Struthio camelus: one gene and its partners. The protein of the gene in region 1 interacts with the protein of each later gene in a pairwise test. Links are inferred from orthologs where the notes say so. Each region holds a gene or a part of one and is shown in the gene's direction. Other genes may lie near its edges.

What was found.
Region 2: the proteins of TFIP11 (region 1) and SFR1 interact in binary tests that used the Homo sapiens proteins (3 or more experiments, as listed by UniProt). The two-hybrid records come from large-scale screens. The link is inferred for Struthio camelus from reciprocal best matches to the Homo sapiens genes TFIP11 and SFR1.
Region 3: the proteins of TFIP11 (region 1) and SH2D4A interact in binary tests that used the Homo sapiens proteins (3 or more experiments, as listed by UniProt). The two-hybrid records come from large-scale screens. The link is inferred for Struthio camelus from reciprocal best matches to the Homo sapiens genes TFIP11 and SH2D4A.
Region 4: the proteins of TFIP11 (region 1) and SNX20 interact in binary tests that used the Homo sapiens proteins (3 or more experiments, as listed by UniProt). The two-hybrid records come from large-scale screens. The link is inferred for Struthio camelus from reciprocal best matches to the Homo sapiens genes TFIP11 and SNX20.

What each region holds. Positions count from the first base shown.
Region 1 is NC_090958.1:19,921,445-19,928,800, reverse strand, and holds the start of TFIP11 (tuftelin-interacting protein 11), read left to right. Parts: upstream 1-4,283; 5' UTR 4,284-4,372; coding exon 4,373-4,569; intron 4,570-4,855; coding exon 4,856-5,009; intron 5,010-5,666; coding exon 5,667-5,823; intron 5,824-6,272; coding exon 6,273-6,400; intron 6,401-6,914; coding exon 6,915-7,067; intron 7,068-7,356. Other genes in the region: TPST2 (protein-tyrosine sulfotransferase 2), read left to right, coding at 93-291, 1,607-1,657, 2,574-2,603. UniProt on the Homo sapiens protein: Involved in pre-mRNA splicing, specifically in spliceosome disassembly during late-stage splicing events. Intron turnover seems to proceed through reactions in two lariat-intron associated complexes termed Intron Large (IL) and Intron Small (IS).
Region 2 is NC_090948.1:14,480,149-14,488,208, reverse strand, and holds the start of SFR1 (swi5-dependent recombination DNA repair protein 1 homolog), read left to right. Parts: upstream 1-5,019; 5' UTR 5,020-5,381; coding exon 5,382-5,430; intron 5,431-6,539; coding exon 6,540-6,655; intron 6,656-7,764; coding exon 7,765-8,060. UniProt on the Homo sapiens protein: Component of the SWI5-SFR1 complex, a complex required for double-strand break repair via homologous recombination. Acts as a transcriptional modulator for ESR1.
Region 3 is NC_090945.1:5,625,240-5,632,937, reverse strand, and holds the start of SH2D4A (SH2 domain-containing protein 4A), read left to right. Parts: upstream 1-4,602; 5' UTR 4,603-5,019; coding exon 5,020-5,194; intron 5,195-6,113; coding exon 6,114-6,273; intron 6,274-6,918; coding exon 6,919-7,078; intron 7,079-7,698. UniProt on the Homo sapiens protein: Inhibits estrogen-induced cell proliferation by competing with PLCG for binding to ESR1, blocking the effect of estrogen on PLCG and repressing estrogen-induced proliferation. May play a role in T-cell development and function.
Region 4 is NC_090951.1:17,360,872-17,368,220, reverse strand, and holds the start of SNX20 (sorting nexin-20), read left to right. Parts: upstream 1-4,257; 5' UTR 4,258-4,368; coding exon 4,369-4,418; intron 4,419-6,538; coding exon 6,539-6,717; intron 6,718-7,349.

The sequences.
Region 1 (7,356 bases):
TGAGTCCAATTAATATACACGTGAAATCCAACTGACAGCAACTTTACTGTCTTGCTTTCCTTTTATTTATTTATTTATTTATTTTCTTCCAGGATAGAAAGATCAACAGACCAGGTTATCAAGCCTGTGAACATGGAGGCATTATCTAAATGGATCGGACATATCCCAGGGGATGTGCTGCAAGACATGGCCCACATAGCGCCGATGCTTGCCAGGCTCGGCTACGACCCGTACGCCAATCCACCCAACTACGGCAACCCGGACCCTTTAGTTGTCAACAACACGCACAGGGTGAGTGTCGCTGCCATCCGGCTGGAGCGTGGCCAGGCGGTTACGGGAAGGGTGGGCTGACGCTGGAACAGAGACCTCCCTGTGCAGGCACTGTGCCCGCAGAGCCCTCTGCAGGAGAAGAGGTTGCTGAATTGAATCAAAAAAGAGCACTGGAGACACAAAAGCTCTCTTCCTTTGGGGAGACTATGACTGATAGATGGACATGCAGTACACAGAGGTTACTTTAAAACGGAGATGAATGCGGTAGCTTGAGACTAGGGTGGCTCAGACTAATGATGTTCCCTATGGTTTTGTGGCGGTGTTCATTTCGTCTGTTGTGGCAGATACCGGCCTGTCCCTCCCTGATCCAGCCCAGTTCTTGGTACCAGGCATGGGAAGTGTACTGTGTTATCTAGATGCAGAGCTGTTTGCTCTAGAAGCTCCCATCTGGCCGCAGAGAAGGGGTTAGGTTGTGCTGTGTCCGTGTGTAGCTCACCAGCCGCTCCCCACAGTCCCAGGAGGAATGCGAGTGAGTGGAGGCTTGTAATGCATTTGAGCAAAGACCAAAAGGATTTTTTTCAGAATACTGACACATGTTTCTGCCACAGACAGCAGTTACTAGACGGAGGGAATTTTTCTCACGCTTTGAAGCAGACCGGACTGCGGCTGGACTCGGCAGCCTCCCCAGCCTTGCACGCACACCCAGTGACAGTGCTCTTGGACCAGATGTCCTCTGTCACACTGATGGGCGTGGAGGAACGCCTGCAGGCTGGACTGGTCCCTGCTGTGCTATAAGCAGATCCATAGGTCAACAGGAAAGTAAAACCACTAAACTGGAAGCTCAGAACTTCCCTGAGCTGGTTTGCGCTATGAGTATTCTGGTCTCTGACAGTTCCTCCTTGCTCTGTGTGCTTGCTGAGAGCTCTTTAAGGACACAGATGATCTGGATGAATATCTTCCCCCAGCAGGTTTAAGAGACTCTTGGAGTCTTTGACGTGGACCTTCTAGTACTTCTCGGCATGAATTTGGAGCACTGGCATGATGCTGAAGGTCTAAATACTCTCCCCTTCCAGGTTAAGGAGGGATCCAGAGAACCTGCTTTTGTCAGGCCCCTGTGCCGGCAGGATGCCATTCCCTGGCTTTGCTTAAAAAGTCACTAAGGAGGAAATCTCCAGCTATTTCCCCAGCATCAGCATGATGTAGAACAAACGCCCATCAGGAGAGCTCTGCTGGTTTGGATACACTGGGGCAATCCATGCAGTTAATAACGTGGAGTTACTGATATTTTACAGCCACCGTTCAAGAAGGGGTCACTCTAATTTTGTCTTTTCCGTAGGTTTTAAAGGGAGATTATAAAACGCCAGCCAACTTGAAAGGTCACCTTCAGGTAAGAGTCTGATGCCACTTCTCAGGGCTTGGCCCTGTTGGTTAATCCTGGGTGCCTGGTCCCTTGCTTCCTCTCATGGACAGATGCAGGCTGGGCAGCCCAAGTGCAGGGAGAGCTCCCCTCTCTGGTCTCTCCTTCAGCCCATCCTGTATTCCTTTCCTTTGTGCTATGCACCACGCCCATCCTCCGCGTTCTTATTTTTGATATCCTGTCTTGTCCTACAAAATCTTGATGGTATTCTGTGCTCTTCTGCTCCTCAGACCCTGCTTGTTCATCTCCATCACCTCTCCTGGCCTGCTCTTGCTTATGGTTTCTTGCTGTGGAGCTCTGCGTTCACGCATCAGACTTGGGCGCTTTCTTCTGTTACTTTAAAACCCTTGCCACCTTGTTGTCTGACCCTAAACTCTCAAGGCTTTCATTGTCCTGGGCCTTGTCATGTTTAGGGAGGGCATGGCTTATCTAATTTAGAGATTACAAGTATTCCTTCTTGTACTTGTGAGACTGTTTTCAGGTGTCAGAAGTATACGGGGCTCTCCTTACAGTGCTATGTTTGAAAACAATTGGTAACCCGTCTTTTATAATCCAGAGCAATCCAACAGCCATTGCACATAATGACCAAAAAATAAAAGATTTCTCAGTTCTCCAGAAAAGATGCGTGGCCAAGACTTGAAATGAGAAAACAGAGCTGCTGGTGAAGCGAGTGTGCGTGGTTCATGCTGCAGATGCTCTGGGGAAATGAGAGGTCAGGGAGACGCTGCAGGCTCTTGGCAAAGCCTCGTGCCTGCTGATTATCTGTAGCTGCCACAATTTTCTCTGTCCTGAACGTTTCCCTTTCTTGCTTCTTGGAACACTGGGAATGTTCAGAGTTGCAGGTGGTGACAGAAAACTGATCCTTCTACTTTGTTGGTTATTCTAGGTCACTCAGAATACATCATCTTCTCACTAATAAATTAATGATTTCCAGGTAAGTGCTTGTACTTTGGGACTCATGCAAATCTACCTGCATTGCTCCAGAGTTAGTGTTTTGCTTGTATAATTCTTGTGCCCCTTGATTATTTGGGCTGCTCCAGGCATCCTCTTTATGTGAATGATCCTTCACAGTTGCTTTAGGTTTTCAGAACAATACTGCTAACTCTGTGAGGTGGTCTGTGAGAAAATGTTTTTCTGAGCTCTGAAAACAGGCTTACTTCAGCAAAATCAGAATCAGTCATTTGGTAGGCTTATTACTGAATATCCCTGCTGGCAACATGGAAACGGAGCGTGGAAACGTGCAGCTGTGCTGAGCAGCTCCCCCAGTAGCCTGCTAGGATGGGCACTGTCCTCGCCGAAGAGAAGATAAAGCGGTCACGCGTGCTGTCAGTTCGGAAAAAAAACAAAACCGCAACCCTTGATTGTTTCTGCAGAAACAACTGTTCATATCTTGGATCCTTTTCTGTCTCTCTCTTCAGGTAGCATCTATGCTAAACGGTGAATGAAAATTTTCTAAAAATGAACCTTTTAAAATTACTTTATATTTAAAAGCAGGATCTTGTGCTTAAAAAAGCAGAAGCATTGAATAAGGATGGATGATGTATGCCCATTATCTTGGAGCTGGGGCTTAGATAGCTATCTAACAAATTGTTATGTAGCTGCTGGTTTAAAATCATTAGTCATGTATTTGCTGTGTTAAATCTGTCTGTCTTATCCCTAAGACTGTGTTTCTTGTCTTCCAGAATGCTGCAAATGGCCTTTTGTTGTCCAGCAAAGAAGAGTTTGCAATTGCAAAAGTGGAAATCTGTTATCCAAGCATATTGCTTGCTAATAATATTGCCAAAATGACTGCTATACAAGGAATGTACTTGCATTTATTTGCAAAGGCCAAACATTTTCCACTTCAAATACCGGTTGTCTACCTTTTCTGAACGCTCCGTGGTAAAAGAAGCTGTGGAAACAAATATTGCAATCGGACTTTCGACGTGCATTGGAAAGAGATTTTATATTCAATTACTTGAGAACTTTTAAAGGCTGTATTTAAGTGTCTTGTAATGCTGTTCTCTAATTTGCAAATCAGAAATAGGTGTTAATAACCTTGTAGAGCATTGGTTGTACAAGTCTCCTGCCCTTCCTTCACTTGTAATTTACAGAATCTATTTAAGAGTTAATATATGAGGCCGCCTGTCTCGTTCTTGGCCCCTCTGTTTACGGCCGCCGCTGGAGCAGCGCTTCGGCCGAGAAGGCGGCAGCCGGGGCGGGCGGCAGGGCCCGGTGTCCCGGGGGGCGCGGGGGGGCCGGGCGGGACGGGGGGTGTCGGGGATTGGGGGGCGGGGGGTGGGGGGAGGCCCGGCCCCGGTGTCGGCCGCGGCCTGGGCCCGGCACGGTCGGTCCGCCAGACCATAGAGGAGCGGCCGGCGCGCGAGACGGCGGCTTGGCCCGGCCCCGGGCGCGAGAGTCTCTATGGTAGGGGGAGTGGCTCCAGCCGGCGGTCGGGGGCGTGACCCGGAAGGAGAGGGTTCGTTTCCGGGTGGCGCTCTGGGCCGCGGGGCTCGTTTCGCAGCGGCGGGGACCGGAGCGACCGGAGCGGGGCGGGAGGCGGGAGGCGGCGGCTCGGGGGAGGCGGGGGAAGGAGGACCCGGCGGCGGGGCCCGAGGCGGAGCGGAGCGGCTCGGTGGGGGCCCGGCGGCGGGGCTCGGGGCACGGCGCGGTGCGGTGCGGGGCCGTGCGGGGCCCGGCGGCGCCATGTCGATGTCGCACCTGTACGGGACGGACGGGGAGGACGGCGTGGAGATGGAGAGCTTCGAGGTGTCGGACTGGGACCTCCAGAACGAGTTCAACCCGCACCGGCAGCGGCACCGGCAGAGCAAGGAGGAGGCCACCTACGGCGTGTGGGCCGAGCGCGACTCGGACGAGGAGCGGCCCAGCTTCGGCGGCAAGCGGTGCGGGCCGGGGGGGGGCCGGGGGCGCCGGGGCCGGGGCCGGCCGAGGTGCCCGCGCTCAGACTGGGCGCACAGGCCGCGTCCCTCTGCCCAAGGGGCGAGCGTGGCTATTTCCTGGCAGAAAAAGCAATAACGTCATGCTCCAAGTTAGCCAGGAGTTGTTAAGATTTCCTTTCAGGGTGGGATTTAGCAGGACTGTTTCAAGGATTGCGCGGGGACGCGCACGGGTCTGCTGGGACAGAATTCGTGCCGTGAGCACTTACAGAAGCCTTTTTCTAATATATAGTTCTAGGGACTACTCAGCCCCCGTGAACTTCATCAGTGCTGGGCTGAAAAAGTCAGCAGCTGAGGATATGTCAGAGGAAGACTCCGATGAAGACGAAAAGCCTGTTAAGCAAGAAGAAATCCCTAAAGAGTTTGTGCCAAAGAAGTTAAAAACAGTGAGTTATCCAGAAATTTTTTAGTTCTATGTAATCTATTTATGAAACTTAAGCTGTAATAGTATCAAAGTTCTTGAGCCAGTAATAGAGTACTCAAGAAACGGAGAAATAATTGTAAACTAGAGAACTGATAGTGCACGTAGTTAAAGGAGATGTTTTCTATATTTTTTAAAGTTGTACTGATGTAGTGTTGTGTGTCCTTGGGAACGTTGCTCCTTTGTGAGCCCTTTTCGTTAATATTCATTTTGGTCAGTTGAGGTTAAAAATAAAAGAATGCTCGTGTTTTATTTCCTTGTTTCAGTTATTAAAATCCAAAGGTTGATTTATTCCCGCAGAACAATATGATTAGCGTGAGCATGTTATAGATTAAAAACCGAACCGTATTTTAAGCTATCAAATACGGAAAAGATCAGGTAGGAGTTTCAGCTGTAGTCAGCGACAGACTCTAATAATTGTCAGCTTATATGGAAATTTCTTAAGTGGCAGGCTGCTTAAATGGACACAACAGTGGTACTCTCTGCCATCGTGAGGCGGAGAAACAGCAGTACCATGTGGTGATAGCTGAATCTTTTCAGGAGAGTGCCTTCTTTTTGAGTTAACGTATGCAAAGCTTGGTTATTAAATTGCCTTAAAAAGTTTGTTGTTGTTTGTAAATAGGGTGGTAATTTCAAGCCCAGTCAGAAAGGCTTTGTAGGAGGGGCCAAATCTTTCATGGATTTTGGAAGCTGGGAGAGACACACTAAGGGAATTGGGCAGAAGCTTCTCCAGAAGATGGGTTATGTCCCCGGGAGAGGTCTTGGGAAGAACGCTCAAGGTACTGTGATTGCAAGTTTGTTTGTTTTTTGCTGACTCACAAGAATCCAATCTCTCATCTGAATTTTATCTGTGGCTTAAAACCTCATTCTCATTTTCTGACATTTCTAGCAAATGATCTGAATTTTTATGATAAGATTCAATTGCGTTTAACGTACCATAGGCCATTTTTTTGTTTTCGTTATTTTGTATGAGGAGAAGAAGGAAAAAGGAGGGAGATAAAATTTCAAGAGTAGTCAGCTCAGAATGAAAGGAGACGTTATTTTATGCAGTAGAATGAAGAAGCACTGACATACAAATGTGAATAATGCTCTGCATTTGGTCGGTGTCTGCTCAAAAAAAGTAATTCTTGCTAATTTGATAACTCAAGTTACTGTAAGAAAAGCACTTTCAATTCTGTCTGAGTAACTAAACTGTAGTCCTTTCTGATCTAACTACTGTCCTGTTCAGGTATTATCAATCCAATTGAGGCCAAACAAAGAAAAGGCAAAGGAGCTGTAGGGGCATATGGCTCTGAAAGAACCAATCAGTCTTTGCAAGACTTCCCTGTTGTTGACTCAGAAGAAGAAGCTGAAGAGGTATGTGTATGATTCCTGGTATATCTCTTTTCTCATTGTTATGTTGTATTTTATGAAATTCAGGTCTGGTATCAGCTTCTATGTCAGAGAAAACTGTTTAGGCCAGTTTTAGGTAAGAAGCTAAAGACCTAACACCGTTTCATTTAGATGTATTTTTCTTGTCAACGTAACGTTCTCTTCATAAATTCTGGCTCCCTTTATTCTGGTAGTCTTGCTAGGAACCCCCCAGAATAAATCCTCTTTGTCTGGCTAAAATGGTAGAAACATTTGGATGCATTCTTTCTGGTTGTTTTTTGGTTCTTTAACAAAAGGAGAAATATATTGCTACCGTCATGAATAGCATGTTTGGGCGGACCACAGCATCTGAGCTAATTTGTCCCTCAGCTTTACTACTTCCCATGTTGTTTTGCTGTACAGCATTCTTCGTTGGTTAATTTTTTGTAAAAAAAATTAGAGAGACAAATTTGGGTCATGACAGAGAAGCAACCCGCAACTCCTGCTTGTTTTTGTTTAGGAGTTTCAAAAAGAGCTCAGTCAGTGGAGAAAGGATCCTAATGGAGGCAAGAAAAAGCCCAAATACAACTATAAGACAGTAGAAGAATTGAAAGCCAAGGGTAGGATCAGCAAACAGCTTGCAGCGCCTCAAAAGGAGCTGTCTCAAGTCAAGGTAAGGCTGATTTCCCAGAGATGCCATCACTTGGGTTATGATTAGTCCGCGTTAGTACTGTGAGTGCTTTTTAGCCATTGGTAACCTTAATAGAAGACAGTTACAAGAACGAATTGTCCACAGCCTCATGAAAATCAAAGGCCTCAGACTTATCACCAAGTCATTTAACACACTACTGCGTCACCTGGGACCTGGCACTTGTTCACAAGCAACCTTTTGACCTCAGGAAAAGGCAGATTAGCTTAGATGTCTTTCATTATGAGTTAAGTTTAATTGTATCTCGTTTATC
Region 2 (8,060 bases), on another chromosome or scaffold:
CATAAAAGCAAGCCCAATTTAACATTCTCCTTTAGTGAATACTACTGTGCAAAAGGTTGCATGTTCCTCAAGAAGAGCAACATCTACCATGCATCTTTAACACAAAAATACGCTCAGACCATCATAGATGACAAAAGTTGTATCAGAGATTAGTTTGGGCAAGGGGCTGAGATTAAACAGGTTTGAATTTTCTTAAAATAACGATCAATCAGTTCTCCACCAAAAATGAGAACCCTGAAGGTATGTTTATTGTTTCCTTTCGCTGTCTGCTACAGTCTTGTAAAGACTTCAAACACCTCTGTAATTTTTGCATGACTGTATCAGAGAAAACCCCACAACTAGACATAAAAATAAAGACAGTCTTCTGTTGTTCCCTGTTATTAGCACTGCGCCTCACCCACTTCGGTGTTCTCACATGCAGCAGTGAAAACTAGGAAGCCCCTCTTAGCTGGCTCTTACGTTATCCTTTGTAATGGGAAAATGCAGCACCTCTCAGCTGCAATAAATTGTCAGTTTTTCTTTAGAAGACCTGGAAAATCGAAGTAAAAAAATGAGGGAAAGTCTAAGCAAGCTCCAGACGCAAGGCAGGAAAATTAAATTTTACTTTTGTTTTAGTTTTATGCTGATGTAATTCCAGTGACTTCAAAGTATTTATTGGCCATTTACATAATTATGAGAGCAGACTCTGTCTCCTAAGGTCAAGTTCTGATGTAGCCTAAACTGGTTTACTCTATGAATCTGGTCTATAAAGCCCTTCCTTTGATATATTTACATGCTATAAACAAGTCAGAACACTTTCTGAGAAGCAAATATTATTCAGAACTTTGCAGCCAGCAAAAACACAGCCCTAGGCCCAAGCTGAAGTGGGTAGCACTTTGGAAATTTCTGCAGCAGTTAGTGGTTGGGCACATAAAAACACTCCACCCTCCTGCCTCAGGCAAAGGAGATTATGTAGACCGTGCAGAGTGTGCTTCATGCGTCAGGATACATCATTTGGCTCGAAACAAGATCAACAGATTTCAGAAAAATGGGAGAAGTGGGCAATGCATATGTGCCTTAAGATTTAGTATGTTGACTAACATCTCCATTACTCATTGCAAATGTGTAGTGAGAAAAGCCCTAGCCTTTGTGTCTAGCAAGAGGTTAAATGGAAGTTTTATGATGCTTCTGGTGCACTGAAGGAACAGAACACATAAAGGTCAAACTGGAATCTCTAGACCCAGAGTCAGTATCCTTTATTATTACGATCTACTTATGCTGGCTTTGCTACTACAGATGATGCTCACAGTGGACTAGAAAATATTCTTGTCCTGTCAGTGTTGATATCTGAACTCTAGTGCTTTTCTGGTAATGTAAGATTAAAGAGAGAGACCTTATATAAAGAATATTTTTCACTTGTGCAGTCAAGTCCTGGGACAAATTGTCTGCCGTTAAACTGGTGTAAACTGAAAAAAAAATCTAATCATTGAAGTGTAATCATAGAAGCACCAAAGCGTACAGAAAACAAAACTAGGAAGCACATTTTCCTCCTTGTTCTTTAGGGAGACAAGTTTCTCTGCCAGGTTCAAAGGGTATGTTCTGCAAATAGATCTCAGTAATTTTATCACTCAGTGAACAATTTCCTATAAAGACTTTTTTTCTCTTATTTTGCTTAAATAAAACTATTCTGGTCGCAAAAGGAATAAAAAGTAATCAAACAATATGAGAAACGTTACACAGTGTGCCATAAATATGCCAATATTGATAATATATGGAGCGTCTCTTTTTCCTCAGGGGAAACAGATGTACTTTTTGAGAGGATGGGTTTAGTCTAATTCTTGCTTGCAATCATGAAGTGTTGGATAACATAATATCCATCTCTGTTGGGTTTTTGCAATAAAAGGGCTGGACAGGAACTCGTAAAGAGATTACAGTTTAGTTCCCAGCTGTGTCAGGGACCTCCTGCCAGATCTGATCTTGGGCAAGTCGCATGTTTTCACAGGACTACATAGGTAAACTTGGTAAACACAGGTAAATACTGAATACCAACCTGAAACAGGATCTTTTCCAAGAGTGATTATGCATTGGTGAATACAACTGATAATATTTCCTCTTCTCCTCTTTGTGTAGCACATACAGCTTATAAACCCGATGTGTGGAACTGTCTTTCTACATTCACAGTTTCAGACACGCTGGAATCTTCACCTGGGGTGGGGCATGTGGGTGTTACTGCAATAAAATAACAATGATAACACACAGGGTGACTGTTCTGTGTATCTACTTTTTCATGTGTTACGTTCCTGTAAAACCTTCCTGGAGTCTCAGCTGGCAAAAGATCTGAAATCTCAAACTTTCTGTTGCTCTTGTGCAACTCAACCACTAGCATGTCTGTGCAACACAGCATGACTAATTTTTAAAAGGAACCATCACTGAGACAGAAAGAAACATGTTTTGAACTTGGAGACATGCTGTCTCAAAGCTGCTGTGCATCTGAAATCCAGCTCACTTGTAAATGTGGAGTAGGAGTTCTATTAAAACTGTTACTGTTGTATTGAGTAGCGCTGTTCTGACATACCATTTTTTAAAAAAAGATTTACAACATGAAATTAGTTGCAGGTATTAAACAAAAGGGATATGTCACATTGGGATTTAACAAATGCCTCAGAATTCCTTCAAGCAATAGTTATCATCTGAGTTTTTCTGCTAGATAACTAATCACACAGCTTGGTCGTATAACGTAACTTCCCCCATTTGCTACTGAGAACATTATTTCTACATCCATGCCACCCATAGATAGTCAAGTGATACTCAAGGAATAATGCAAAAGCCCAAAGGTTTCCCAAATCGACTCATTATAGATTGTCTGTGAACGCTTGGATGCTTTTTACTGTAGGTGTTAGGCGAGAGAAAGGTTGCTATCATCACAGTGACTGAATCTACGCGTACTTATGGTCAAAAGCATGGCAACTACCACCATATTGTCATGCCTACACTCCACTGTGCTTACTCACCTCTCCAGGCAAAAGTGTATCCTGTCTCAATACAGATGGAAGTTATGCAAGGCAATGGATAAATGCAGCGTCCTCATCTGTGGTTGCGAAGAGGAATCAGGCAGGAAAGTAATGCAGTTCTGCCATGCAAATTAAGGGCATGATCTGATGAGACTCGCAAGTCTGTACACTCCACGCACAGCAATCGGTACGCGCTGGGTGAGGACTCATCATGCAGTCCAGCTGCGGGCAGTGCCGGAGGGACCACGGATACATCATCCATCTGCTGGCGGCAGACTGGGAAATACAGCCCTTACGGCTACTTCAGCTGTTTTTCCTCAGCTCTGAAAGTTATACCGGAAAAGCCTTCTTTAGACAGATCAGTCTTGAGAAATGTAAATCCACACAGGGAGAACTGGCCCGCAGCATGGCAGGGGATTTGGCTGAGAAGGCTGATTTGAGAATTACGCTTGGTCAGCAGCGCCTTTGAGCGCCAGGGGCCTCTGGTCCAGCGCTGCGCCCCATAAGCGCACCCGTGGCTCGGGCTGCTCCCGCACGGGGCCGCTCCCTGCGGCCATCCCGTCTGTTTTTCCAGTCATTTCTTTTTCAGCTCTTTCGCTGTCCCTTACATTTGAAGCCTGGATTTCCGAACCCCCTTGGCTTGCCCTCCTCCCAGTGCCTTCCCCCAGGACAGCTTCCCCCCTTCTGTGAGGAGACGGCAGCTGAGGGGAAGGCGCAGCTCGGGGCAGCGGGTGGCAACCCCTCTTGGCGGCACCGAGTGGACCGGCTGTGCAAGCACGACCTCCACCAAGATGGCGCCAGGCCTTGGGCAAGGTCTGGCCGTAACACCACACAGCCGCAGCAGGCTGGTGCTGCATGCTCCACTGCAATGGAGGAGTGTGGGGGATCCTCAAAGGTGCCCTGAGCCTGGGGCTCCACAAGCTCGGCCCCATCTCGGCAGCGACGGCAACCACGCTTTGTTCTTTCGTTTCCTTCCTTCCTTCCTTCCTTCCTTCCTTTCTGCCCGCCCGCTCGCCCGTCCCACTGCCACCTTCGCGCGCCCGCCCGCGCCGCTTTGCCCGGCGCGCGGAGCCCCACCCGCCGGCCACAGCGGCGCAGGCGCGCTGCGAAGATCCCCCTGGCCCCGCCCCTTTTCTCCGGAAGCGGGAAATTGAAGCGGCTGCTGGCGGGCGGCCCTTGGGGGTGGGTGCGCAGGCGCCTGGCACGCTGAGGGGTCGGCGGCCGTTGGTCGCGGCGGCGGGTGAGGTGCTGGCGGCTTGCGGGGGTCCCCTCAGGTCGGCGGGGTGCCGGGTTCCCCTAGCGTGGGCGGGACGCTGCCCCCCTCCCCCCCCGGGCTGGCGGGGTCGGTGGCACCCCGGGGGTTGGCTGCGCTGGCTCTCAGAGGGCTGCTTCGGCCACAGCGTGCCCCGCGCTCCGTGAGGGGCCTCCCGCCCCTCCGCGGCCTGCGAGCAGCCTCTGGCTTGGACCGTGGCCTCTCGGCGGGCTGCGCCCCCTTTCTGCGCTGCCTCTGGGCCCTCCTCGGTGTCCTGGTTACGCATCGGGGGGGGGGGTGTGGTCTCAGAAGGAGCTCTGAGGGGCTGTGACCCTGCACAGGGCTGCCCAGCCTTCTTCCTGCCTACTCGAGGGGTGGAAAACTAGCCAGGCATGACAGTGGCGGAGGGTCACTGCAGCCCTCGGTTTATCGGAGGAAAATGTAAACGGAGTGAGTGCTGTTACACAGCGCAGCCGTAAGCAGGAAAACTGAGGCACCTAGCGTCGGGGAGTTGTCCAAAGCCCCGAAGAAGTAAGTACTGGAGTGCAAAATTGTCTTTTGCACTTCTGGTCCAACTTTTCCTTACTTAGTGGACAGAGTTATTTTTCTGTGTGATTAATAGCATTACTACTTGAAAATGCAAAGGATTCTTAGGCTGAGATACTTGGGAAGGCTTTTAATAGTGCAGGAGAGAATTGTGAACATGTTACTCTAGAGACAGTTACAGTGTTAGTGAACCCTTGAAAAATCTTTGTATTCATGGTCGTTTCAAGACAAATACTCCGCATTAGAATGTAAAGGCAGTGAGTCACAGGATTTTCTTTTTTTTCCTGGAAAGAGTTGAACAAATGTTGAAGCTAGCTCTCAGGTTTGTTGCTTGGTAGTAAGAGATTTATTACATACTTGTGATGTACTACATAGGCATGATGTAGCTTTTTCAGGGCCTCTTGCTCAGACTGAGAAATAATAGTGATAACTTACATTATGTTTGACAGGTGCTGTGGGCTTCCTCTTTAATGCGCAGATTGCCAAGATACTTTTGTATCAGACTTTTGTTCCTACATAAAGTTTTTCTTTTTTAATGAAAAACCGTATGTTGAATTTTGAACAGCTAGGGGGAATGTTGACTTGCAAGATGAATGAGGACTCATGCCCTTGTTACAGAGCCTGGAGGACCTGAGTGGCAGGGTTAGTAAAGCTTTGGTGTACTGAAGCTTTGATTGGTTCCATTCCTGAAGAGGAAGCCCTTTGTGCCAGTCTTGTGTTGCCTGGCAACTTGTTTACAGGTTTTTATTTTCAAGAGGCTTCTGTTTCAAAACCCCTAATTGCAATTTCCAGGTACAGGGAGGTATAGCTGACAATTTTCCAGTTGCATGCTGGTCACTAGCAGGTGTTCACAAGTGCTAAACTCACTTAAACACTGCCAAATCAATTTAAAGTTGATACATGCTGAGAAGGTATGACTTATCATTTTAATTAGGGTGCTTCTCTGAGTAAACTGGGGAGGCTTAGTTTTAATCTAAAATTCCACTTGTGTGAGTAATTACTTTTTCAAGTAGCTTCCCCCAAAAGGGTCAAATAAGACAGTAGATTATTTTCACAGACATGGGCACTCTTTTCTTTAAAGATTAGTTGTTTATGTAGACAGACAATAAAAATCTCATGGCTCCCAGCAATTCTTTTATCTCTACTTGGGATGCAGCTAAATGGAAGGAGTGATTCTTCACAACCTGGCTTACTAAGGATTACTCCTGTGAGTTAGACAAGCAGTAAGGGTCATTCAGGTTAAGAAGAAAATAGAGTTTGTTTGAAGTGAGCTTTTTGTTGATAAGTTTGATGTTGCAGGATCTGACCTTAGGATTTATAGGCATATTATAATGGGCCTAGGTGCTTCATAAATCTTGCTCATTTTTAACACTTGAAAGGGCTCACCAATGTTATAGGTGGAAAAAAGCTAACACTGAAGAATAACTATACACTTTTAGTAATATTTATTTTAAGGAATACATGTTGTAGCACTTTATGAACGAAGGAGATGTAATAAACAAAATTCACAGTAAGATGCTTTGTAGCTGGTAGTACTGCTATTCATCCTCTTGAAGTAAAGCTGTTCACAATCCAAAATGGTTCTTAGCAAAAGAAATGTTTGTAGAACATCGGCAGATGTCTTTTTGAACGTAACAGATGGTAAGCTGTACTATTTCTTCTCAGGGCTTTTTACTCATCCCCGCAGCCATGTGGCCCATTATAATTAGGTAAAAATGGCACCGTGCATAATTTAATGTTTCTTTTAACAGAAATTGCTTTCTATCTGAAGATGGAAGAACCAGGGTTTGCTAAATCGACATCTCTGTGCAGTACTCCAAAGGATTCTGGGACAGCAGCTCCACAGAGCACTAGTTCAGGGAAACGGGTACGAAAACTTAACTTGTTTCCATTAACGTGACTTATGAGTGACAAAAATACTTAGAAATCGTCAAGTAGTCACTGAGGAACTGTTCACTGGAAGGCTAAAGTTATAAGTAGCTTATAACTGTAATTGCAAGGTTGTCCAGGTAAGAAGTGCTTTTGGTATACTTTGCTCTAAATATGAAAGTCTGTTACGAATGCAAAATGATGTAGCAGTATACCCAAAATGCCATGTAAATGCTAATAAATTTAATAATGTAATTTATTTTTATTTTTTTAAACCTCCTTTTTTAATTTTGTCTTTAGCTTCCTCGAATCAATCTTCTGGGTTCCTGTGCATGCAGAATTACTTCCTGTGACTTCTGCTTGCGCTTGAGCAAAGAAAATAAATCATCTGACTCTTGCTCTATGTTGTTTTTAAAAGACTCCAATATAGACTCTCCCATGTGTTTGTCTAGCAATGTTAGTCTTGGTCTTATTTTAATAGCCTTCTCTTTTGTGGCTTGTGACATCCTGAGCAGTTTTTAAGTTTCCTATGCAGCTTCATATGCATGTTTTTTATTTATTTAGCTCTGAATATGGAACACGCTTTGCATAAAGAACTCGATGCACTGTGCTTTCAGTTTGTATATTCTCTATAGTGTCTAGCTCTACTTTGATGTTTGTCTTAACACACAACTTAACATGTTGATGCTGTCAAATTGACTATGGCTTATATTACAAAAAAAATCCTTATGTAATTGAAACTATGGGGGAAGTAGAACAAAACAGAACAGAATTAACCAAGCTGAAATGTGCCCTGTGTCTTCTGTACTGAGACTTTGACAAGTAAGTTTGTCTTAATAAGGATTACAGCACGTGGTCCTTGAAAATTTGGAGGCACAGCTTTCCCATATCTTGCAGCTATGTGTGCAAGCACACATGAAAGGAAACGGTTAACTTTGTTCAAGTTTGTGAAAACTATAGCAACAATTAGGAAGTTAGGCTTTACAGTGACCTACATGTGATGTATTCTATGTAAATAATAAACAGGATATGAATCAAAGATAAGGTTATTCTGAGAAATCAGAACAATCTTTCTCCTTTTTTTTGTTGTTCTTTTATTATCTTTAGCCAATGAGTGCAGCTCTGAGGGAACGATTAAGAAAAACAAGACGTTCATTTAATGCTAGTTTTACAGTGGCAAAGCGGCTCAGAATAGACACTGAAGAAAAAGACTGTGCTGCTTCTGACGAAGCTTCTCTATCAAAGAAGAATATAGATTTTTCCAGATTACAAGATAGTCCTGAAAGCCTGGAAAGAAACTGCCCTGGTCATGCGCGTTTCAAAAGTTCTTTACAGAAAAGCTCTCCCTGTGGATCAACAGAGAATCCTTGTATGCTAAGGGCTGATTTTAGTCACCAGCGGTC
Region 3 (7,698 bases), on another chromosome or scaffold:
CACATCCCAGACAGAGGGAGGACGGTCCCCCTAAAGCACCAAAAGGCAAGCCTGGGAAAGAAGCTGAAAGAAAACACAGTTGAATCACTGCAGCTTGGCTCACTGCAACTTTCAGCTCTGCAAGAGAAACCAAACTGCCGTGTGTCAAACAGCTCCCAGGCAGCCAAACAGGGAGAAGGGCCCACACAAAGACAACGGGGATTCAAGCTGCTTACTGCTGTATGAAGAGGCAGAATGCAGGACCGATGACCACCAGCAGGGGAAACGAGCTAGGGGCCTGCACTTCCAGTCCGCTGCAGCCAATCCCACCAGCCAGAGCTGCACAGAACCTCTGCTCAGTCACAGCAAGGACATCCTCTCGGGCCCATTTTGGGCCATCCTCTTTCCAAGCCCCCTTCTGGCCAGGGAGCTGGGACCATCCTGAATCAAAGGTCACTAGAGCTTCTGGAGAACAGCAGTTCTGCTGCTCCCAAGCCAGACAGAACACAGAGCTCCTGAGAGGCCTGCCCAGCTGCCTGGCTTTTCTCCCTGGCAAACATAGTCAACACCCTCTGCTTAACAAACCACTCAGCATTTGGCCCACACTCACCACAAATTATACCTTCACAACTGAAGGGAATAACAGGGTTTCACCTCCCTGCTGGCAACAAGTCTCTTCTGTTAGAAACCCCTTCAGTTTTACACATCACAACTATTCATTTCTGTTGACCCAGGCAAGGCATCTCTGCCAGACCACCACATTTGTCCATGTGCAGAGCTACCAGCCTCTTTAGTTACTGTTTTTGAGCCACTGAAGACCCAGCCCTACTTGTTTCTCCAAACAGAAGACACCTCAGGCTCTTAACTGAAGACCTCTGCACACAGACCAGCAACTCAGAGTAGAAGCACAGCATTTCATCCATACGGCATGGTGAAACAGGCATCGCCGATACCCAGAACCCTGGGTATTCTGAATGCGCACTATGCCTCAAAGACGCGGCGAGCTCTTTTCAAATCTTTCTTTTTAGAAATCAAACAACTTTTCTTTCTGCTAGGATGTTTTTCAGACAAGCATCTCCAAACTTGTTTCCATAACATCCTCCTCTTAAAAAGAAACTGCAGGTCTCTCCACTTAGCAAAGTAGCTGCAGGTTTTGTCAGAAGGGCACACGGATTGTACCACTAGAACGTAGATCTGACTACTTCTCCCAAGGTTTCAATATTTTGAACCTTTCTGTACTTTGCACCTTACAGCAATTCAGCCTAGGCATCTTTAGAAAACTGCAGGCAAAAACCGTGTTCCCCCAAACGCACATCAAGCCCTTGCAGACAAACAGGCAGGGGAGTGCCAAGCCCATGCTGCACCTATTCAGTCACCCACTGGGTACCAACTCTTCACACACAGAAGTACACCCTCACACACAAACATTTGCGAGGGACAGTCTATCCCAATGGAAACACCTGCTGCTACTACCAACTCCATGCTTCTTTCCCACCTTGCAGCTTAGTTACAAATAGCTGTTCATTTCCTTTCTTCTTCTAATACCATGCTTTGATACTGTTTACGTGTATGATTTATACTGTTTATACTGCTTCTGCGTTGTTTATACTCTGCTTTATACTGGCTGCAAAAGAGCTCTTAGTCTGTGTGCGCTGCCTCACAGCTCAAGGCACTTTTGGGTTACAGAAATAAAAACACCACACAAGCTTTTCAGATTCATATTACTGTTCAAAAGGCCAATGCCTGCACTAGCTGTGTTGGGCTAAACACAAAGAGATTGTCACATCCCCTAAAACCAGAGCAACCCTCCCAAGAGCTATTCTGTTTGGAGGACAGGAATTGATCTGAAATAGCCACCACACCTTGTGTCCTCCAGACTGAACTGACTTCAGCTGATCCTAAGAAAAAACTCCAAAGCCTAAGGGACCCAGGCCTGACTGAAGGGTGCTTTTGTGATACCCTCATCTCTTTGCCAACAACAGCTTCTTTTCCAGGCAGCGCCTAAGAACAGAAGGCAGTGAAGGTTAAACAGCAAACTCCCAGCAAGCTCCCAATTTTGCAGTTTCACACAGCTCAGATGCCCCTAGGAAGAGGGGACTGCGCCCCAGCTCCCCCCCACAGCAAAAAGCTGCTCCTTCTCCACAGCCTGCCATCCCCCCCCCCCCCCCCCCCCCCCCCCCCCCCCCCCCCCGCTCAAGGACAGCCTGAGCCCTTTTCTTTGGCTGCTGAGCTGGGGCAATTCTCTTATCAGAGGATCACTCAAGAGCCTTGCCCAGCCACAACTACCTCCCACAAGGAGCTCCCCAAAGAGCCTTTTTTCAACCAATCAAGCCATTTTGTTTAAACAGCAACACGACTTTGGAACAACAGCTCCCTGTTTCTGAAATTAAATTAACCTTTCAAAGAGGGAAAATGTAAAGCAACTGGTCAGACACACAAAACAGAGACAAAAAGGCTCTTACCCTACCCTGCCTGGTTCAGGGCACCTCCCCAGGGAGTCCTACTTCTGGCTTTGTCTGAAAGTGGCTGTGCTCACACTCGGGACCCCTCTGTCCTCTCAGGCCCTGAGCAGCCCCTTGTCTCACCTCTACAGCTCCCCCAGCTGCTCCCAGCTCATTTCAGGCCCTCCCTGCCAAATCTGCGTCAGGACTCCAGCCTGCCATGCCCTGGGCGCTCCTCAACTCCTCTGTCTCCGGCATGCTTTGGCGGTGCCCCAGGAAGGCCTGAGTGCTCTACCTCTCGCAGCTTTAGGGCACGCTGCCTTCAGGCATGCCTGGTCTGGTGTGGGGGTGAAATGGGGAAGGCAGGCGGGGTGAGACAGCGTGAGAATAAGCCCAGGAGATGTTATCTTGCCTGGCTGACTGAGGAAGCTTTGCTGTCACACTGCCTCATTTTCCCTAATTAAATGGGCTGCATGCATGTGCTCCTTGGAAAGCTTCATTATTGCCCTCCTTGGCTGCTCTGCCCTACCCTTCTCTAGCCTGCTCTTCTACCTCTTTCCCAGACGAGGACTCCAGGCAAAAATCAGAGCAATCATGCGCTGAGGCTGAAGGTGCTCCCAACATTTTTTCCTGTCTTGACCTGCCATGGGGATCCCCAGGAGCCATTTCCTTTACAGTAACAAAGGGAACTCATTTGACTCCAGTAGTGAATGCATACTGCCACTTCTCCCTGGCATGGGCCAGTCCATCTTCTCCATGTACTTTATACTTCCACATTAATGTGCTGCTGACCACCTTCCTCCCATCTAGTGGGCTATGCCTCGAAGCTTCTTAAGCCTTTTATGCTTCTTGTTTCCCCAACTCCCAGGATTTGTGTAGAAGTACAGGAGTAATCCCGCTAGCCTTCATTTTCCATGCAACCTGCTAAACCTCTGCTCCCACTTATCGTTTCCTATTTTACCATCATCAAATTCTGCCCTCCCTGTTCGAGGGGTCACTGACCTCTACAGCTTCGGGCGAGTGTGGACAAACTGCTTGCCCCGCCATGTGCCTGCCCCTCTGGTGTAACAGTCTCCTCCCAGGGCCCTTGTGATGGCAGGAGGCTGCAATCTGCTTCCCTTTCGGGGCCAACCACACTGACCCTTCCTGCACCCACTCTCTCCACCGCAGGTTCCCACGATTTCTGACAATTGTAAACTCCTCTTCCTCAGGCACTGAGACTCAGCCTTTCTGCCCGCTGCTGCCAGTGGCAGCAGTAGCATTTCGGAGAGGGCGCCTAGCCTGCAGCTGCCCAACACCTCTTCCATAGACCATGGGTATCAGTGAACCTGCATTTCCTAAGAGCTTGTTCAGAAAGCGCCTGCAACCTCTCGCCTTCACTCTGGCTAGCAAGCCACCCTTGCAGCTCTTTCTGCAGCTGTACTTTACAACATAGCTGTCGTCACCTCCCCCCCAACCCCGCATTCTCCTCCCTCAGTAGCGCCAGGGTCGGACAACAGTGTCACTGAACGCGCTGCTGAACAACCTCCTTGTTTCCATGAGTTTATCCAGAGGAGATATGCAAAAGAGTTGGTTTCAAGGTCTTTAGTCCATTCCCCCCATCCCCCCAGCACTACCTATTTGGCAGCTCCTCTAGTTACAGGAGTGCTCCTAATTTTCCAGAGAAACCCCTGTTGCACAGGTCAATCTACTGGCACAAAGCACATCTGCTTGGGTGCCGGGTGCCCTACCTGTATGCACTAGCTGTGACCTGGCATCCTGGGCAGGAACAGGAGTGCTCCTTCTCCCCTGCCTCTTTGGCTTGTCACGTGTGGATGGCGCATGCCAGGTTTGCCATGTGGGGAAGGCACATCAGCAAGAAATGTCAGACCTGGAGCTGCCTCATTTCATCAGCTGCTGACAATCTTAATTATCTGGCTTTGAGCAATCCACCTTCCCTGGGCTTGCTGGGACACTACATTTGATGGACAGGAGTACCCCAAAATTCCCACCAGGCAACTCCTGACTCCCACCTCAAGAGCAGAGCCAAAAGCCCTCCCAATCTTTCCTTGGTTAAAGAGAGCGGCTGAACTTCTTAACATCATGCCGCCCTGTTTCACAGCGTTTCCTCTTCCGAAGAAGGAGGAGCCCTCTAGTCCTGAGTCCATTGATCCCCTGCCCAGCAGGAATGTTTGCTTGGGCACGGACAAGCCACACCTCTGATGACTGTAGCACGCAGCCCTCTTCCCTGTTTTGATACGGTATCAGCTCAGTTTATCAGGGCATAAATACAACCTGCCCACCGACTCCAGAACTCTTCCCTTCTGGCCAGCTGTCCCTGCAGAGCAGGCGGAGGCTGTGTCTGTCACCTGTTATTTCAAGGAATCTTAATAGCAGGTTTTAAGCTCGTATTTACTTTTTCAGTCTGTGCAGGAAGTCTGAGCTAAAAAAAAAAAAGTTACCCAGATAGAAGTATAATTACCCTGGCACACCTGCATTCCTGCTCCAGGCTCAGGCAGGGACGGACTCTTTCTTGTCAGTGCAGCCATACTGCAGCCAGGAAGAGGAGCTGATCCCTGGAGCTCATCGCCACAAACGTGTGCAACTGAAACCTCCAGCCATGCTGAAACAGATATTATCAGACATGTACATTGATCCTGAGCTGCTGGCAGAACTCAGTGAGGAGCAGAAGCAGATCCTCTTCTTCAAGATGAGGCAAGAGCAGATCAGACGGTGGAAGGAAAGAGAAGCTGCCGCAGACAAGGCTCCAGCCAAGAAACCACCATTGAGAAAAGGTAAGTTTTTGCCTGCCAGCTGCTTCCTCCTTGGACACAGATCTGACCAAGATCCCGAGATAGAGGAGGCAATGTGTCCCCAGAGTAATTTCTTCTCCCAGGACACATTACTCATATTCCCAAATTAGAACTAAAACCATCTCCTATGGGGGTTCTTCTGGCCTGGCATCCAGCTTGTTTCACTCCCTGGCCCAGGCCCAGACACACCGTCCTTCACCGAACCACTAAACTCCCCTTCCCAGGAAGACATGGCTTATTTGTCCCCTGGGTCACGAGATGCATCTCATCAGTGTCCCACTGAGCGGAGCCTCTGAATCTGTGTATAAAATAACCACGGACATGAATGCCTGTCCTGGAGTGCCAGCAACAAGCCTGCGTCATACGGGAGCTTGGCGAGTGCCACTGCCTGGGCTGAGGCACCAATCTGCTGGGGGTTGCCTGTTAGGCTTTTAGACCCGAAATCCCCTTGCCAGGATTACGCAGCATGCTGGCTCGCAGAGCCGAGGAGTCCTCTTCCCCCAGCCGTCTCCTACCTGCTCTGTTTGCCGGTTGTCCAGCCTCACACAGTCCCTGGACAAGGCATTTGAAGAGGGCAGTGGCAAGGAAGTAGAGGAAGAAAGGAAATGGCGGTATCTCCTCTCTTCCTTTGGGGCTCAGAAACATCTCCTTTATTGACAGAGAACGACTCTAGCTCCGGCACTGTGAAATGAAACGGGGGGGAGGGTCCATGCTGTGTCCCAAAGGAGCTTCTAACAGGGATGGACCCTGTCCACAGATACCTCCCTGCTTTTTCCCACAGAAGGCTGTTTTTGGGAAAGGCTCTGCCAGTGGCAGCAGCCAGGGCACAGCATGTAGGATACAGACCCTGCATGGGGCTGCTAAGCAAACAGCATTAGTGAAAAGGCTCCTTCTCTTCCAGCCAGCGCGAAGTCGGTGAAATGGAAGCTCGGTGCTGACAATGATGTCTGGGTCTGGGTGATGGGTGAGCATCCATCAGATAAGTCGTATGCTGCCATCTGTGAAGAGATCCAGGCACAAAGGGCAAAACGCTTAGCGAGCGAGCAAGGCAAGGAGGCCAGGTAAGTATCCCTCACCCAGAGGACACACAGAGGAAGAGACTTCTCTAGAGACCCAGGCCAGAGTCTCTGCCGTGGAGGCTCTCCTCTCTGCTCTGGGAATTTTCCTCCTCAGGCTGAAGCAGGTGGACAAGTCTAACACGCACATTGCGAGCAAGCCTGAGCCCTTTATAAAATCATGTTTTGCTTTCCTTTGATTTCTGCCTTGGGGCCAGGCAGCGCGTGGTTATCTCTGTCCCACTCTGCTTGCAGAGCGAAGGCACAGGGAAATGTCAGCTTTCTATGAGTATGGGCAATCCTGGCAGAGACTCAACCTCCAACCTAAGGGCCTGCCCTAGCTGTTCAAGTCTCCCATCATATCGCTGCTGTGCGGCAGCCTCTGAAGATCATAGGAGATGATATGCGTGTTACTGCAGTGGGTGATGTGTTTGGATTGCACTGATTCATCGACAGGTGTCTGTGAACAGCCGGACGACAGTTACTCACAATGAGTAACAACTTTTAACTATTCCCTCCCTGTGACCTGGAGATATGATAACTGTATGCCTGCACGGCAGCGCTCTGATCACATGTGATTTCCTCTCAGATGCTTAGGCAGCACAAAGTTACTCCCCTGGATTCCTAAGTCCTGTCTCTCTTGCATTTCAGAGAGACTGACTCTTCTGTAACATGCTCTCTGCATCCACAACCGGGAGTCCTGGGTGGGATGGATGTTCGCAGGAACAATAAAAGCAGTGTGGAAGAGCAGAAGGAAGATGGGAGAAAAACAACTGCCACTAGAACAGAGAAAAGCTGGGAGCTCAGAGAGGTACTTTTCCTCCTTCTCTCCTTCCTACTCAGAAGTCTTTGCTTTGAGAGGTAGCGAGTGCAGCAAACTGATTGCTAGTAAAGGAAAATCCAAAAAAAACCTAGCCACCTGACCGTTAAGGCTTCTTTCTTCTGCAGTCATTGAAGAAGTTGTGCTGTTACATCCTTCCTTAGGACTGGGGAGGTCTGTGGGTTATTCCCAGCTGGGTTTCTTTGCTTCCGTTCTCCATGGGTAAAATGGAGATTACAGTACTTTCTCTCCTGTTCTCTGGCTGGTTTGGGCTGCTTTTCAGGCAAGACCAGGGAGGCTCTCCTACCAGGATCAGCACATGCAAGGCCACAGCCCTCAGACAGATCATCTTCCCCTATAAAAGATCAGGAGAGGGCAATACTACCAACATCCTTTGAAATGCGTATTTCACGTTCTTTTTCTCTTCTAAAGAATTAGAAGATAGTTTATGACCTTGACAGGACAGGACAGCTCCAAATGCAGCTGACTAGGGTGCTTGCTTTGATGTTTCATTACAGAAAGGTTTTTCTCCAGTAATAAATACATTTATACCTTTAAAAAGCCATTTACAGAGAACGAACTGAGAAAAAGACACAAGATGAATTATCTAC
Region 4 (7,349 bases), on another chromosome or scaffold:
TGTTAATCATTTTATTTAGTCACTTAAGAGTAGAATTCCATTTTAAAGTCATACTTAATTTTTAAAGAATAAATAGCACTGAAAAGATACTATGATTTATGCATTACATTCCCTTTGTTTTGCAGAAGGGCACACAATAAAACACAGTTATACTCCGCTAATCCTCAAGGTGGCTATCTATACAAAGCAGCTGCATTTTCCTCTGTTTGTAGAGCTGCCTTTAATACTGCTACAAAATGCATCAGTATGTCTGCTGTAAATCCTGTTTTCCCAAATTTCACGATGTTTGTATTCCAGGTATAAATACATTACACATGGAACTTGGCATACAAATACTGGCCTAAGTATACTATTATCATATTCAAGAAGAAAGGTGGACAGGCAAGTTATAAGAATAACATATAAAAATTTTAGCTAGGAATGAATAGGTATGCTATACCTAGTAGCCCTAAAACAAATATTTTAAAAGTATTTCCCTAGTCTATGTTATTATGTATTTAACCCTCTATTATTTCAGCATATACCATTTAGAAAATCTGCTATTCTATCAGCAGAATAATGCTTGTAAAATTTAACCTGAGTTAATATGCTATTGACCCGTTGGGCTTGCATTACAGCTCTGTGTCACTGACAGACCACAGATGAAAGAAGGGCCAAGGCTGTTATTTATGCTAAAGCTCCTTCATACTCCTTTAGAAGTATAAAGGAATTGTAAAGTGATAACAGGGCTTTGGCAGTGTAAAATGGACCTGTTATGTTTCTTTCATGTTGAAAACCCTGTCTGTAACACCAACACAAGGAGATATTTGCCATTAAACTGCAAATTATTTTTTTAGACCACACTCTTGATAAACGTCTTTTCTAGTAATGGAAGAATGGTAAACAAATTCCACTTTCAAATGACACAACATTCTACAATTAAACATTATATAGATAACATTGAACATACTTTTGTGCTGTGTCAGGATAGTAGTATGATATTCATTTATCACAACATCATCCCAAAAGTGCAGAATATTCATGAAGAACAGCTGAATTTTTCTGCTACTTCAAACATGGAAATAGTAGCTATTTATCCAGCTGCATTAAAAATGAGAGGAAAAGTTCTTGTAGAAGCATCAAAGACAACATTACAGTACTTTCTAAATATTAGCTATTGATAAAAGAGGACTTGGACAAATAGGTATTTCTGCCTCCTCTTGTTTTTCCTCATCATCCACAGTTCCAACAAATGATGAGATAAAATAAAAAAGTATTAGTTACATAGTTTGGTGCCTGAGAGGGAAAAGCAGCGCAAACCCTACTAGGTCACTTGAAGCTGTATTTATTGGGGCAGAAGCTGCAGAGTTTTTTATAAAAAGCATATTACAACCACAGCTGAGACATGATACTCTAACTAACATAAGTAACACTTACGTTACTTATCTGTTAATCTTCTGTCTTTCACCAGGACAGGAGCTTGCTGTGCCCATTACAATGGTAAAAATCTGTCAGTAAACTGCAGTTTACATATAGCACTGGTTTCTCTCACATTTTTTAAGATAATACCAACTTTGTATTCTATGATTAAATATTGTGGCTCTTTGGGTTTGTGTAATCTGTAAAATGTTAACGTGTTGCCCAAGTCAGATTTATATTATTGTAGTCCCCACAGAAAATAGGCAAAAAAAAGATAACCGGAAGCAGAATTATCTATCTGGATAATTTCTCGAACATTGCTGTGGATTTTTTTGTCAGAGTATAAATCAAGCATAGAGTATAACTGAACAGTAAAAATCAGGTATAAATCAAGACAGGGTATTCTACTGCAGTCCCTTCTGGCCTTTAACCCATCAAAAGCTCATACATGGTCTTTTGATATAGGCATCCTTGATATAGCATCGCAAGACTAGCTCATGTGGTGGCTGATTACCAAGTGTTAGAAATAAACTTTCGGGTCACTCTTCCTAAAACAGACTTTCCTAAAGTGAGTACTTCCATCCTAAATTGGCAAGGAGGACCCAGCAAAACTCCTATGACAACTATTTTTATGCACTGAAATGTTATGGTTTCAACCTCGCCTAGCTCCGATGTTGCAGCAGAGCATTCTTTCCATATTGCTTGGTGAATGCATTTTAATACTGTGCATTTTTTCTGTGTGCCAGATAAGGTCAGTGCTTTCCTTCAGCGAATGTGACAGAACATGCTTTTCCATTAAAATTTACCATAGTTTTATGAGTAGTCAGATGAACTGACGCTGTAAGTGCACTTCTTCATCCCGCAGAATGTTATGCTGTCTTTGTAAAAATTCCCCTTTTCTACTGTTTAATCCTTTGCATATGCTGTATTTGACTGTTGGAAGTAAAACTGAGGATATAAAGAGAAAGATATTAGTTCTGCATTCTGCTAGCAAGCACCACTGTATACTGTTGACTTTTTTGAACGTGCTAATCCAGTAGACATTTAGAATAGTAAAGTGCTGCCGGACTAACAACGGTTGGTCCCAGTGAAGGGCTGTCTGGACCAGACCTGGGCACGTGGGAGGAGGCTGAGGAGCAGCAGCCTCGTAAAACCACTACGGATGTCATGGCTCTTGGGAATGAGTTTAGCAATAGTCCCGTGGGTGTTTTCTAACAACGGGCTGTGGCTGCAACAGCTGGTTCTACTGAGGCGGTCAGGATTCTTGCAGAACACCCTTGCTCTGTAAATTAAATTTATATCAGTCAGCCATAAGAGATTTCTCATCTTTTTACTCATGCAAGTTAATTTAACCAGGAATTACCTCTGAAATAATTGACCATAAAGTTTGTGCTCAGCATACTGAAAAATATACTTTCCTTTTTCCTTCAGCTGTATCAAGGGTAGGACAACAGCACTAAGCATAACAAAATAATATATTGCTTTTTGGCTGTACATAAATTAGCAGATTCAAAATAAAAAGCTTGGATACATCTGTGAACTGTCAGCATGAGTGAAATCCCCCTTGGATTTTGTTCACGAATGTAACCAAAAACATAAATCTAACTTTAAAGGAAAGGATCTCGAGCCAGAAACCCATGCCTTGTCTACACTTAAAAGGGTTGGCTGGTATACCTACACCTTGGAGCTGTATTGGCAAACACACATTTGTGGAGACACATCTCACACTAGCAAAAGAATTTTTTTCTGGTATGACTTAAACCCATTTCCCGAGTGGAACATGCTATTCTGGCTAAAGCACTCTGCCAGTATAACAGCGTCTACACGAGGGGTCTTGCCAGTATGGCTGTGGCTGTAGAAGAGTGACTTTTCATCATTCTGACAGCTGTTTTGGCAAAACTTCTACATTTAGACTGAGTCCAAGTTTGAATTGGCAATGTTTTATGCTGTGAATAAAGCTGAAGAGAGGCATTGCCAGTTAATGGCCCCGATTTTACATTATTTGAACTTGTTTGTGTCAAAGGAATGTGTGGGCAGGATCCATGTGCTCCTTTGGATGAATGCCCCTCACATTTGTGCTGCATTAAAATCTCCCGGTTTTCCAGTGAGTGAGCTTCGGCAACTGGGAAACTGACTTCACGATAAAAGATAGCGTCTGTATTATCTACCAAAAAATAGCTATCCCGATACTTTAAGCCATCTTCCAAAGTGAAGTAAACCGCAGAAGGAAGCCTCCAGGCACTGGATATGTGGATTAATGTGTCATTTTTCTTCACTTTGTCTTCAGTTCAACAAGGGATTTAAGCCTGGAATTAATTTTAGGCACACACATAACTCCATTTCAAGTTTAGCGGTCATGTCAGACATAATAACGCTCCGTTCTGAACTTTAAGCAAGCAGATAGTGTGAATTAATCATACGCTTAAGCACGGTATAGAGTCAGGACTGCTGTCAAATATGTAAGCGTGCATAGAATGAGGCTGCTTGCTGTGGTTGTACCTGCATTTTTTCTCCTGAACTGGATGGTAAGTCTACATTTTAAAGATATCCTACAGGGCCTGCTTTCCCACAGAAACACATGTACACGTTGGGTTCTTTTCTTCCTCATCTCTCCTTTGCTAATTGTGTTTTTTTTGGTTTCTGATAATCCGCGTGGAGGAGTTCCCGCCGGCTCTGTAATTCCTGTCGAACTCTTTGCCCGGCCCCGTTTTGTGCCTGCGCGTGCCGCACCGCTGGCGCCCCGGCCCGAGCAGCTGCCTCCTCTCGCTCGCGCAAGAACCGTTCACGGCCGGTAGGAAATTTCGTGCGCAATCGGTCGCCGCTGAAACAGCAAGCCAATTGGACGAGGAAGCCTGATTTAATCAAGACTTCTTCCTTCCTTTTTGTAAAGCGCAGAACGCGCCCGCCACAAGGAAACACAGACATATTTTTCTGCGTTTTGAAAACGAGAAGCAGGCCCTCCGTGGATCTATGCAGACTGCAAAATGCGCCACAGCTGAAACCTCTTCCGAACTTCCCAGGTCAGTATGTTGTGTGCGGCAGTTTCCGACGTCACCTATAGCTCCGGGAAGCGGGGAAGCACTTTGAGAGGCGTTTACCCTCAAAAAGAGCAGGCTGAATGCCTCTTCAAAGTATAACTGTACAATTTGTTGCGGGTTTCTTTGTACTGTTTTGGATTTTTTTTAAGGGTAGGAATAAATAGTAGCTTAGTTAAAACAGCTTACAATGACTTTTAGATGTGAAAATGAAACTAAATGTTGATATAACGTATAGACACTTCGCAAGGCAGATACATGAAGACTTGTATGTCATACCATTGACTTCTGCATCCTTTGGTTTACAGTCGTGTTGTACTTCTGTGGTAAATTATGTTTTTAAGCCGTATTTACACATAGATAAACAATGTATATTATATACTTATAAAATATATAAACTATATATCTAATTTTATATCTACAAAGGATAAGACATATTTATAAAGATATGTATCTTGAACATAAGTATAATTTTGCTTATGTAAAGAAAAGTTCTTTACCCACAGAGAAGTTCTCATTTAAATTATTTGACCATTTTCAGATTCCTTATTTAGCCTGGTATAATCGAGATAACCTTCACTTATCATTTAAAAAAAAGTATTTTTCAAGTTTATAGCCATGGGATAAACTGTCATGATTATGAAAAGGTCTGAACCGCTGGAAATTAAGTAACTATCGACTCTCATGTCCAAAAAGCAGATGTTAAGGAAGGCTAGAAGAGCAGGGAGGACTTCCACCTCCTGGGAGACCTAGTCCAAAGTCCAAACATGAGGGCTACCAGGATGCTCCTGCTAAAGAGGAGGGGACTTGTGTACATTGCTTATCCAAGCCAGGCAAAGGAAAGGTGTTAGAGGAACGTGATTTGCACCTCCATTATTTCCAGAGGGGAAAGCAAGTGCTTTTCTCTTTATAGCTTTGCAGTTTTCTAGAAAACAATAGGTCACCCGAAGGAATTGCTTCACCTCTGTATCCAGCATTGCATAATTGTTAAGCAGACAATAGGAAGCAAAGTGATATGTAGTAACACCCTTGTCCTAAGCTTATTCGTTACCTAATAACCTCTCCTTCGGCATTATCTTTACATATGTGCAAAGAAGATTAGAATGTTTTAAAATAGTTTTTTATGTTATTTGATTTTCTCCCCTGTTGGCTGAATTCCGAGCAAAGTTTCTCTGTCACACTGGCAAAGTTTTTAAGATGCTCTTAAAACTTTTTCAACTGCTAGTATAACATAATCAGTTATACTAGTTGTAATCAGTTATTAGAAAAAAAATCCGTCCTGGGGAGACGGGTATGTGGCAGAATGGCCAATCCAATCTATGGGCTATATTGCATTAGGCATTTTATGAACATAAAATAAAATAGAAGTCCTAGCATAGGACAGACATATGAATCTGTCACAAGCACAGCGTATGGATGAAAAAAGAGAAAGTCAAGAGAAGCTTCTGTATAATAATTAGACGACTCAGTTTTCCTTCTACCTAGTCGTTGTGAGATTCAGTTGTTTTGTTCTCACAGATCAGAGACAAGTTTCTGGAGGGAAAATGAAATAGAAATATGACAAAAGTATTATTTTAGATATCACCTTGTTTTGCCCTACAGGCCAACATAGTAGCTAAGAACAGATGCCAAATTCTGGAGTCTTAAGAAGAGTAAATTCTAACAATATGAGAGAGTCAAACTGCTAGTTATACTAACTATTTCCAGCATTTGAGTTCATCCATACTATTATTTCAAGATTGAGGGCAAAATACAAGGAGCAAAAATCTGTCTCCACTGAAGTTTCTGACAAAAATCTCACACAAAAATGGAGTCAGGGTTCCCCACGTAATTTTATTTACCATAACTTCTCCTTATAGTTTCCACATTTTATTTTGATCTGACAAAAAGACTTCCACACACTTTCAGTGGCAATAGTCATAGTTTTTCACTACTAGCTAGGTAGATAATTCTATTTATTACTCTAGTTTTCATGAAAGAAACTATAGATGCCCTGAAATCTGTTCACAGAGATCGATGAGTAAGTAAATAAAGAAGAAAATTACCAGACCGGATCCACTAAAGGCCTGCTATTAAGACATGTCATACTTACTGTAATCTTTCAGTGGTAGCTTTGCAATGGACCAGGACCCACACTACACAGCAGAAAGAGAGCTGTTGGAAGCTGTAAGCAGGATTACTCCATTCTCTGCTACAACTCCACCTGATGAAGAACAAAATCAACCCAAAGCAGAAATTTCATGTCAAGCGAGCAAAGAAAAGCCAGAGAAAGATGACGTTCAAGGTTGATGCTATCCTTTTATTCTATTTTTCATGTAGCTATTGATGCTATTGACCTTTTACATAACAACTTTTGCTTTATTTACTGCAGCAATACTCCAGAGTTATATGGCTAGTATTCCACTGAATATAAGCCTTTATTAAATCTGTAGTAATAATGTAGCAATAGTAAAACAGGTGCACATCCTGGTATACATATATGTATAGTTTGCCTTTTAAATCCTTGTTCCTAGAATGTGCTCCAGATTTAGTGTACACACCAGGGACCCAAACAGTGGCCATCAGATGGCCTGTCTTGTGAATGCACTTTCTGTTCATCATAAAATCTGAATTTCTCGGCAGTATCAGCAAGGACACCAAGAACTGGATAGCAACTAAACTCAGTCTCTGTGAGGTCTCTCACATTCCTTGGGAAGAGGCTACACTGAACTTTTATTGTGTTTAAGATTGCTCTTATCTGTTACTAAATAAAATGTTAAATGTTATCTATAATATTTACAGTTTCTTCAAGATATCCCCCCTGCAAAGCTATCCTAAACAGCACAACACTCTTAAGAAACAGCTGCTTTGCAGAAATTCAGCCAAGCCCCACAGGTCTTGATGATTAAAACTATACGACCAAATGATTAACAACAT